Linked DNA regions of Kluyveromyces lactis. The protein of the gene in region 2 interacts with the protein of the main gene of each other region in a biochemical or structural test. Links are inferred from orthologs where the notes say so. Each region holds a gene or a part of one and is shown on either strand. Other genes may lie near its edges. The genes, in order: PTP3 and FUS3.

Region 1 (4,529 bases), on a different chromosome or scaffold from region 2:
GTCATTATGGTTAGGCGAGCATCAGTTGCTTTGTTGGTGTTTGACAGCACTTGATGTTGTATTTTGAGCAGCGAGATTGTTTGCATTCTATATCGCTTTCAAAACGATGGATTCAGACTTGCTGTAGCTCATTTACCTTTCCGTCTATAAATTTGTGCAAAATGTCAAGGTGTGAGTTCTCGTCTGTCATAGACTGCCAGTTATTACGCTTTTCAGGGTCTGTTGGTGAAGTCTCCAAATTCAATGTAAAATAGAATAATAGACAATCATAAATGAAGAGAAATTGGTTGATATTTTGAACCATAGAAATACGCTGTCTTCTGAACTGGTTTACGGTTGTCACGATTGGATCAAACATGAGACTTGTTGGTGGTTTCGTAGCAGAAAAAGAATTAGATTTTGTAGTTGGAGAAAGATTAGGAGTTAACGGTACGGCGAAGGCGCCATACAAAGAAGGATTCTCATCGGTATCAAACTTCTTTAGGTTTGATAATATGGAATCAACAGTGCACAAAGTACCTGTTCGACCACATCCAGCAGAACAATGAACGAGCACAGTCGGTGTGTAATTAGGAGAGTACACGTTATGTGCGAACAGACTATCAATGACAAAATTCTTCAAATTGATTATTTGCAGAATTTCGTTTGGTTTGAGCAATGTCCCTAAGTCTGGCCAGTCTTTTATCTGTAATTGCAATAGTTGGAACTTACTTCTATCATTATTATAGCTCAGTTCAATTCTTCGAATGATGATCTCATTGTTATTGTCTGAAGTTTTGTTTAATTTAAGATGTCTCCAAAACTTAGATGCAAACATATCTTCCTCATGGTTAGATTCTGCCTTCATTGGTTTATCTTGTAACATAGTACTAAATTCATCCAGAAGTTTGACGTTTATACCATCATAGTTACCGTTTGCCCAAAAGTTGCAACACTTCTCAACTCCATTTTCAAACTCATCAGTTAGCGTTAGAATTATGGGCACATTGTTGTTCAGAATGCAGGTGTAGAAGTCCGAAATTGTCTCTTTCAAAGGAGCTTGGGTGGCAATATAACGTACAGACTTGATGTCAGCGGTAGAGCTTTGCTGAAGTTGGGCAAAAGGATTAACCAAATAGTTAGCATTAATATAGGTATTCCAAACATCCTCTTGTTCATCTTGAGTTGGCAAGCCACTAGCACAGGAACTATATGCGGAAGATCTCGGGGAAGGGGTTGAATTCTCACAGCCAGCACTGCATATACTAGAATGCGAGAGCTTTACTCTTGTGTGCTCATAAGGAAATATATCCTTATATCTATTCTTCGTCCCAAATTCTACCCCAGATGATATTGTGATGCTTTGTAAGTTCTCTTCAGCATCATCCTCATCAACATCATAATGACCATCTTCGACACATCTGTCGTTACCAGCTACAGTAGACCGAGATTGAGTGCTGACAATTGAAGCGGACGATGAGGGGCCCAATAATCTCTGAAGTCTTTTTCTTTCTAATAACTCCAATCTTTGGAACTTAGATATAAAGTGCAGTTTTGGAATGTCCATTAATTGGCAGAACCAGGAAGGAACTACCTGATTGATCTCCTCTGAAGCAAATCTGTGGTATAGGTTATCATATTTAACTTGGAAATTTAGTTTAGATGAATTGTGGCCACTAGAAGGATCTGCTGGCGATAATGCTGTTTGAGTTGAAGTAAATGATGACGAAGTCGCATCGGTACTGAACTGTTTGGACGGTGAAGCAGGAAATTTGAAGGATCTTAGGTCATTTTCTGATTCTAAGAAAGAATTTCTTTGAGAGCGTTCATTGATCTCTACGGCCTTCACATAATTATCTAGATCGGAAATGTCATGCTCAATCTGCGGTAACTTAAAAGTTGGTAAATGTTGATTATTTATCGGTGCCGGCAGTTTAAATCCAAACAAAGATGATAATGGTGATGATGTGGATATTGGGGAACCAGATAGAGTCCTACTGTTACCGGTTTGTGGTGGCTGTTTCAAAGGAGAACAAGAATGCGAATGAGATCTACCAGAGTGTTTCAACTGCGGTTGAACTGGAGAAATATTGTCTGCCTGATGAGGGGAAGATGGGGAATCTAAGGTATAAGAGTCTTCCAAATCCATGGTACCAACTTCGACGTCATCAGGATATGCTGCATTAAATGATTCAAAACCTTCTGCGAGAATGAAAACAGAAGGCTTTTGTTTGTCACTTACATGATCGAGGATCTTAGAAGATATTCCGAAACATGCCAATGATACTGCATAATCTGTCTGGTTTGCCACATTATCGTAAATAACCACCTTGGCATTTGCAGTGGCGCTGTCACTGCCCAATAAATATTCCGATAAAGTTTCCCTTCCTGGGGAAGGTAGATTACCTATCAACCTTTCCAGATTGAAGTTTTTCCTTTTCAGTAAAGTCGAGGGAAGACACAAGTGCATTGCCGATCTGATGTGATTTTTGTTGAACTCTATGAACGGCCTTGTATCGAATATTATCAGTTTTTCATTGGGATTCTGGTCCATATTTTCAATATAATGGTGCAAGTCCGCAGGGCTAATAAACGAGCAGTCTTTATGTTTAGGAAATCGGAGATCTTTTGGACATATTGTTGGAATAGCGGGCAAGCTATTGGACTTCATTGCTATGCTCCGCGATCTACTCCGTGAAAACGAAAGGGAACTTCTATGAGATGCTGACAACGGTGAAGGTGTACATGTACTATACGAAGGTTCAGATGCTGAAGGGAAAGTCGACGCATGTATCAGAATCTTTTCGGGCAGTACCTCCGTTGAATTTCTTTTGTAATTTGCGCTCAGGGCAGGAGATGCTAACGATGAATTCGACGATTTATCATCGATCAAAGTGGATGACGAACTTAGAACTGATGAACTTTCCGATGTGAATGAGCTGCTCTGAATTGAATCACGATCTTTATACTCTGTACATCCAGATATCGATGGTGGTCTAGCGAGAGGCCTTGAAAACGAAAGAGGTTCTTTGAGTTGGATTTCTTCCTGTTGTTTGTTGGTGCCCATCGTGTCTATATACTCCATTTCTCTTCGAAATTATAAATAGATTAGATTTGACACCCTATTACTAACAAAGTACTTTCTTTCTGTATGCTTAATTTGACAGTTTTGTCTTGGTATAGGTTCTTATTTGGTGTCTTCGTTAAAGCAGTGATTCGAACAAAGTTAAAAGATAGCTGAAGATGTTGGAAGCTGTTCTATTTGGTTCAATAATGCACTAGACCTAGAAATTACGAATTAGAAAACACTTGACCGAAAAGAAAAGAAATTCTAAAAAAGATATTGAGAAGAGGATTGCATAAGGATACACAGATGCATGCATTCGAGAAACATATCCAATGGAAAAAAAAACAACAACAACAACAATTAGCACGCACATCCACGTGATATACGGTCGAATTACATAAATGCATATGTGATATAGTAATGCCCACTTCGTTGGTTGAACCAGACACCTTGCTACTTAATTAGATTACTTTTCATCTGTAGGAAATTACCTGAAAAGACACCTTATGTAGGCAGAAAGGTACTGAAAACAAAGGACTCAGAAAAATATGCGATAAATCTTCTAAACTATTTACACCCTCATGCCGATTGCAATTTTACCAAGCAATACTCATCTCTTGTTGAATAAGAACCGCAAATTGTCAAGACATGTTACAAGGATATCACGGATGAAGAAGCAGTTTCTATGGTTAATTACGACACTCTGTTGCTTTGTGAAATGTATGAACAAAAAAAAAGACACAAATCTAGAAATCAACAGTAGAGCCGAAAGAACGGTATAATAAGGACCGAAAAATATGCTAATAGTCAAAAGATCTAGATCCCCTGGGTACTAGTCTGAGAGTATGTTCTTGGACTTGTACTCTTCAACTTGTGAAAAGTAGTTTAATAGAAGAATTGCAGATGGCTGCATAACACACCACAGCAAAATCCTGGGAATAAATTTCAATCATGAGCATAATCATAGATGGGGCTCTTTTGCGCAGTAAATTACGTCGTTACAATTATTTGCAACTGGCTTTTTTTTCTTTCTTAGAACTGACAATGAATGTTGTCCTCCGTGCTCTTGCAAAAACGAACACGAATTTTCTCGGGAAAACCAAGGCGTTGATCATTGTTCCGGTTCGAGACTACGGTCGAAACGGACATTACCTCTCTGCCCTAAACACACTCTGATCAGTAAACGTTCATTTGTCAAATAGTAATGCGAGAGTTACCATGGGACTAAGGCTCGAAAAATTTCGTACTTTTGATCCAGAATGTTAGCACGGAAAGCAGTGACCAAAACGGTTCGAAAGTTCGCTTCCCTCACAAAAGAAAAGAATTTTCAATAGAAATGGACTCGGGTCTCGAACATCTTTCTGCAAGCTGAAACGAAGAAATTAACGTAGTGAAATAACTCGGAAACTAAAGGCTACCACTACTCACAAAACGAAAAGCGAAAATTACGTACGCCTAGAAGTCAACGCACTGTATCTGTACC
Region 2 (3,202 bases):
AATAATTGCTCTCCCATCTATTTCGTTGACGTCCATTAGCGATTTACGAATCTGTGTTCCAAGGGATATTTGTTCAAACTTATCAGTGCTATCATCTTCCAATCTCCAGAGATTTGCGGCAGAATTTTCATTGAACCGATCTGATAATGTCAAGATAAATAGATGATTATCGGAAATGAACGTTGATGCTGGAGACAAATCCTGTAATTGTTCGGCAAACGGACTCAAACTCTTAAAATTAACATCGGTGATATACAACTTACTGGAAACATCTCCGAAAGGGGATAGTACGGTACTCTCCTGACAGATTACCTTGTCTTTTAATTTGTACAGTTTTGATTTTGATGATTTCTGTACGAATGAACAAAACATGTTTAAAGGGTTTGAATCATCATTACTTTTAGAACCAGAGCTGGCCAATTTGAAATTGTTACCATCTTTGGAATAAAACGAAATCTGCCTTAAGGTAAATTTACCATCCAGTTTACCTAGTTCATAGATATTGATAATTCTTGCATTCTTATTTGTGGGATGTGACTCGATTTCAACGTTGATAATCGGTTTACGATTTTCATCGCCGACGTTCGAATAATCAGAGAAGTCTATCTTATGATTATCTGCGTCTAGGAAAGTTAACTGTTTCCAAGATTTCCCTTTATCACCGGTAGCTAAAACGCCGTTTTCACCACTCAAATATGCAACATCTGCTTTATAAATCCGATCTAGTACCAAGTGATTCCATTCCTGAGGTTTGTTATCAGACGAAAGGGGCAATCCCACCGAATCCCAAGTAACACCATTATCCTCACTTCTATAAAGCTCAACACCACGAAGAAGTTTAAGAACTACTCTCGAATCATCAAATCCGAGGATAGACAAGCGGCCATGCGTGTCTACATCCGAATGGAACGATACCTTGGGTTTAAAATCCTGAGCCAAAACGGGCAGAAAGTTCCAAAGCCCCAGCCAAATAAGGATATTCCACCAAAACATGAGACAAAGACGTTAAAAGTACTGCAAGCAATGTAAAAGGGTTTCGTTTATATCGGTAATTGAGTATATACATGAAACACAAGCTAACTACCGCTAAGACCAAAATTACAACGAACTGTTGAACAATGGTTCAAAAGACAATCTGTACGATATATTCTATTTTTTCCTCCTAGCAATTTTGATAATACCAATTCTGAGCATTTGAAAGTTGGTAAAAGGGAAGAAGGAAAAAAAAGGACGCGTCACGTGAATGTGAACATAATTAAGAACCTTAATTTTTCCCTAAACTGTTGCAGCTTGTTTCACATTATCTCTGAAGAAATTAGTCTCGTTTCAAGATGAAACGGCCGTACTTAAGGGAATATGGGGAATGTCGCGTTCATGAATTACAAACAATTAAAGTGAAAACTTCGATGGTTTGAGGTTTTGAGGCGATTTAGTGAGAAACAAGAAGACTTAAGATATTACATATATATATATCATACCTAAAAGTGGGTAAATATGGATAAATTCTCAGGCAAGAAGGGGTGGACAAATTTTTGCTCTGGTTTTATTCATCCAGAGAACCAGAGATAGATAGTGTGACAATGGGCAAGAGGATAGTATTTAACATAAGCTCTGAGTTTCAACTACAGTCGCTTCTCGGTGAGGGTGCTTACGGAGTGGTATGTTCAGCGAAGCACAAACCCAGTGGAGAAATAGTTGCTATCAAAAAGATCGAACCTTTTGAGAAACCCCTATTTTCTATTAGAACATTAAGAGAGATCAAGATATTGAAGCATTTCCAACACGAAAACATAATCAGCATATTTGACGTGCAAAAACCATCATCTTTCGAACAGTTTAACGAGGTGTACATAATTCAAGAGTTGATGCAGACGGACTTGCATAGAGTGATCGTGACGCAGGAACTAAGTGAGGATCATGTGCAGTATTTTGTATACCAAACTTTAAGGGCGCTTAAAGTGCTGCATGGAAGTAATGTGATCCATCGAGATTTAAAACCAAGTAATTTGTTGTTAAACAGCAACTGCGATTTGAAAATCTGTGATTTTGGTTTGGCAAGAATTGTATCTGAAAGAGCAACAGATGGCGATGCCCATGTTGACGCTGATGACACGGATGATAACTCCCCTTCATCGGCGGCTAATGACGGTGACCCGGCAATTTCGGGAATGACAGAGTATGTGGCAACCCGATGGTACCGAGCACCGGAAGTAATGTTAACAGCTGCACAGTACTCCAAGTCCATGGACGTATGGTCATGCGGATGCATTCTTGCCGAGCTCTTGGGGAAACAACCGTTGTTCCCCGGGAAAGATTACAGAGATCAGTTGATCCTGATATTTCAGACTTTAGGGACACCCACGGAACAAGAATTGGTGGAGCTAGTAGAAAATAGACGTGCACGTGAGTACATTCGCTCGTTACCTAAGCATCCCAAGATCAATTGGCGGCGTAGGTTCCCGAATGCATCTGCAGCCGCTCTTGATCTCCTTGACCGGATGCTGCAATTCGATCCGAGGCTACGGATCACTGCCACGGAAGCGCTATCACATCCATACTTGGTCTCGTACCATGACCCGGACGACGAGCCCGAAGGAACTCCGATTCCTTCGTCATTCTTTCAATTTGACCAATGGAAGTCGCGGCTAAATACAAAGGATTTGAAGCGGCTGTTATGGAACGAAATCGTGTCATGAGACACACCATCCAAAAACAAACGAATGACTAAGTAACCACTAGCGTATTATATCATTTTCTTGTGTAGAGGTCTCCAAAATGAACAAAGAACACCATCAGATAAACATAATGCGGTTTTGTGCTTTGGAAAGGAAAAAAAGAAATTGAGACGAAAAGATCCCATTTCGGAGCCGCCGTTCTGCGATTATCTTAAATGCGATTTTTTCTTGTTTGTTTTAGGGGCCCCCTCGTTGCAGGGAAGGTCAAACCAAGAAAAACAAATTACACGCACTAGGAAATCTGTGAACGAAAATGCAAAAAATCCATTGATCCGGACTTTAACACGCATGACTCTTTCCTTCACTATGGTATGCTCTTCAGTCATACATTGCCACATGCAGTAATTCTTACGACCCGATACGATTCCTTCCCCTCTCTATCCTTGCAAACTTAGTAAACTGAGTAAGCTGCACCATTAATGTTTCGGGATGTCCGAGCTATTGTGTGATTCGAGTAGCGCACAGCA

The links.
Region 1: of the proteins of FUS3 (region 2) and PTP3, one has a biochemical effect on the other in vitro, tested with the Saccharomyces cerevisiae proteins (2 studies listed by BioGRID, with this or other methods). The link is inferred for Kluyveromyces lactis from reciprocal best matches to the Saccharomyces cerevisiae genes FUS3 and PTP3.

The regions. Positions count from the first base shown.
Region 1 is NC_006039.1:675,250-679,778, reverse strand, and holds PTP3 (tyrosine protein phosphatase PTP3), read right to left. Parts: upstream 3,065-4,529; coding exon 113-3,064; downstream 1-112. UniProt on the Saccharomyces cerevisiae protein: Major phosphatase responsible for tyrosine dephosphorylation of MAP kinases FUS3 and HOG1 to inactivate their activity; it also has important roles, along with MSG5, in the inactivation of FUS3 following pheromone stimulation.
Region 2 is NC_006041.1:928,409-931,610, forward strand, and holds FUS3 (mitogen-activated serine/threonine-protein kinase FUS3), read left to right. Parts: upstream 1-1,580; coding exon 1,581-2,696; downstream 2,697-3,202. Other genes in the region: PEP1 (type I sorting receptor), read right to left, coding at 1-993. UniProt on the Saccharomyces cerevisiae protein: Together with closely related KSS1, FUS3 is the final kinase in the signal transduction cascade regulating activation/repression of the mating and filamentation pathways, induced by pheromone and nitrogen/carbon limitation, respectively.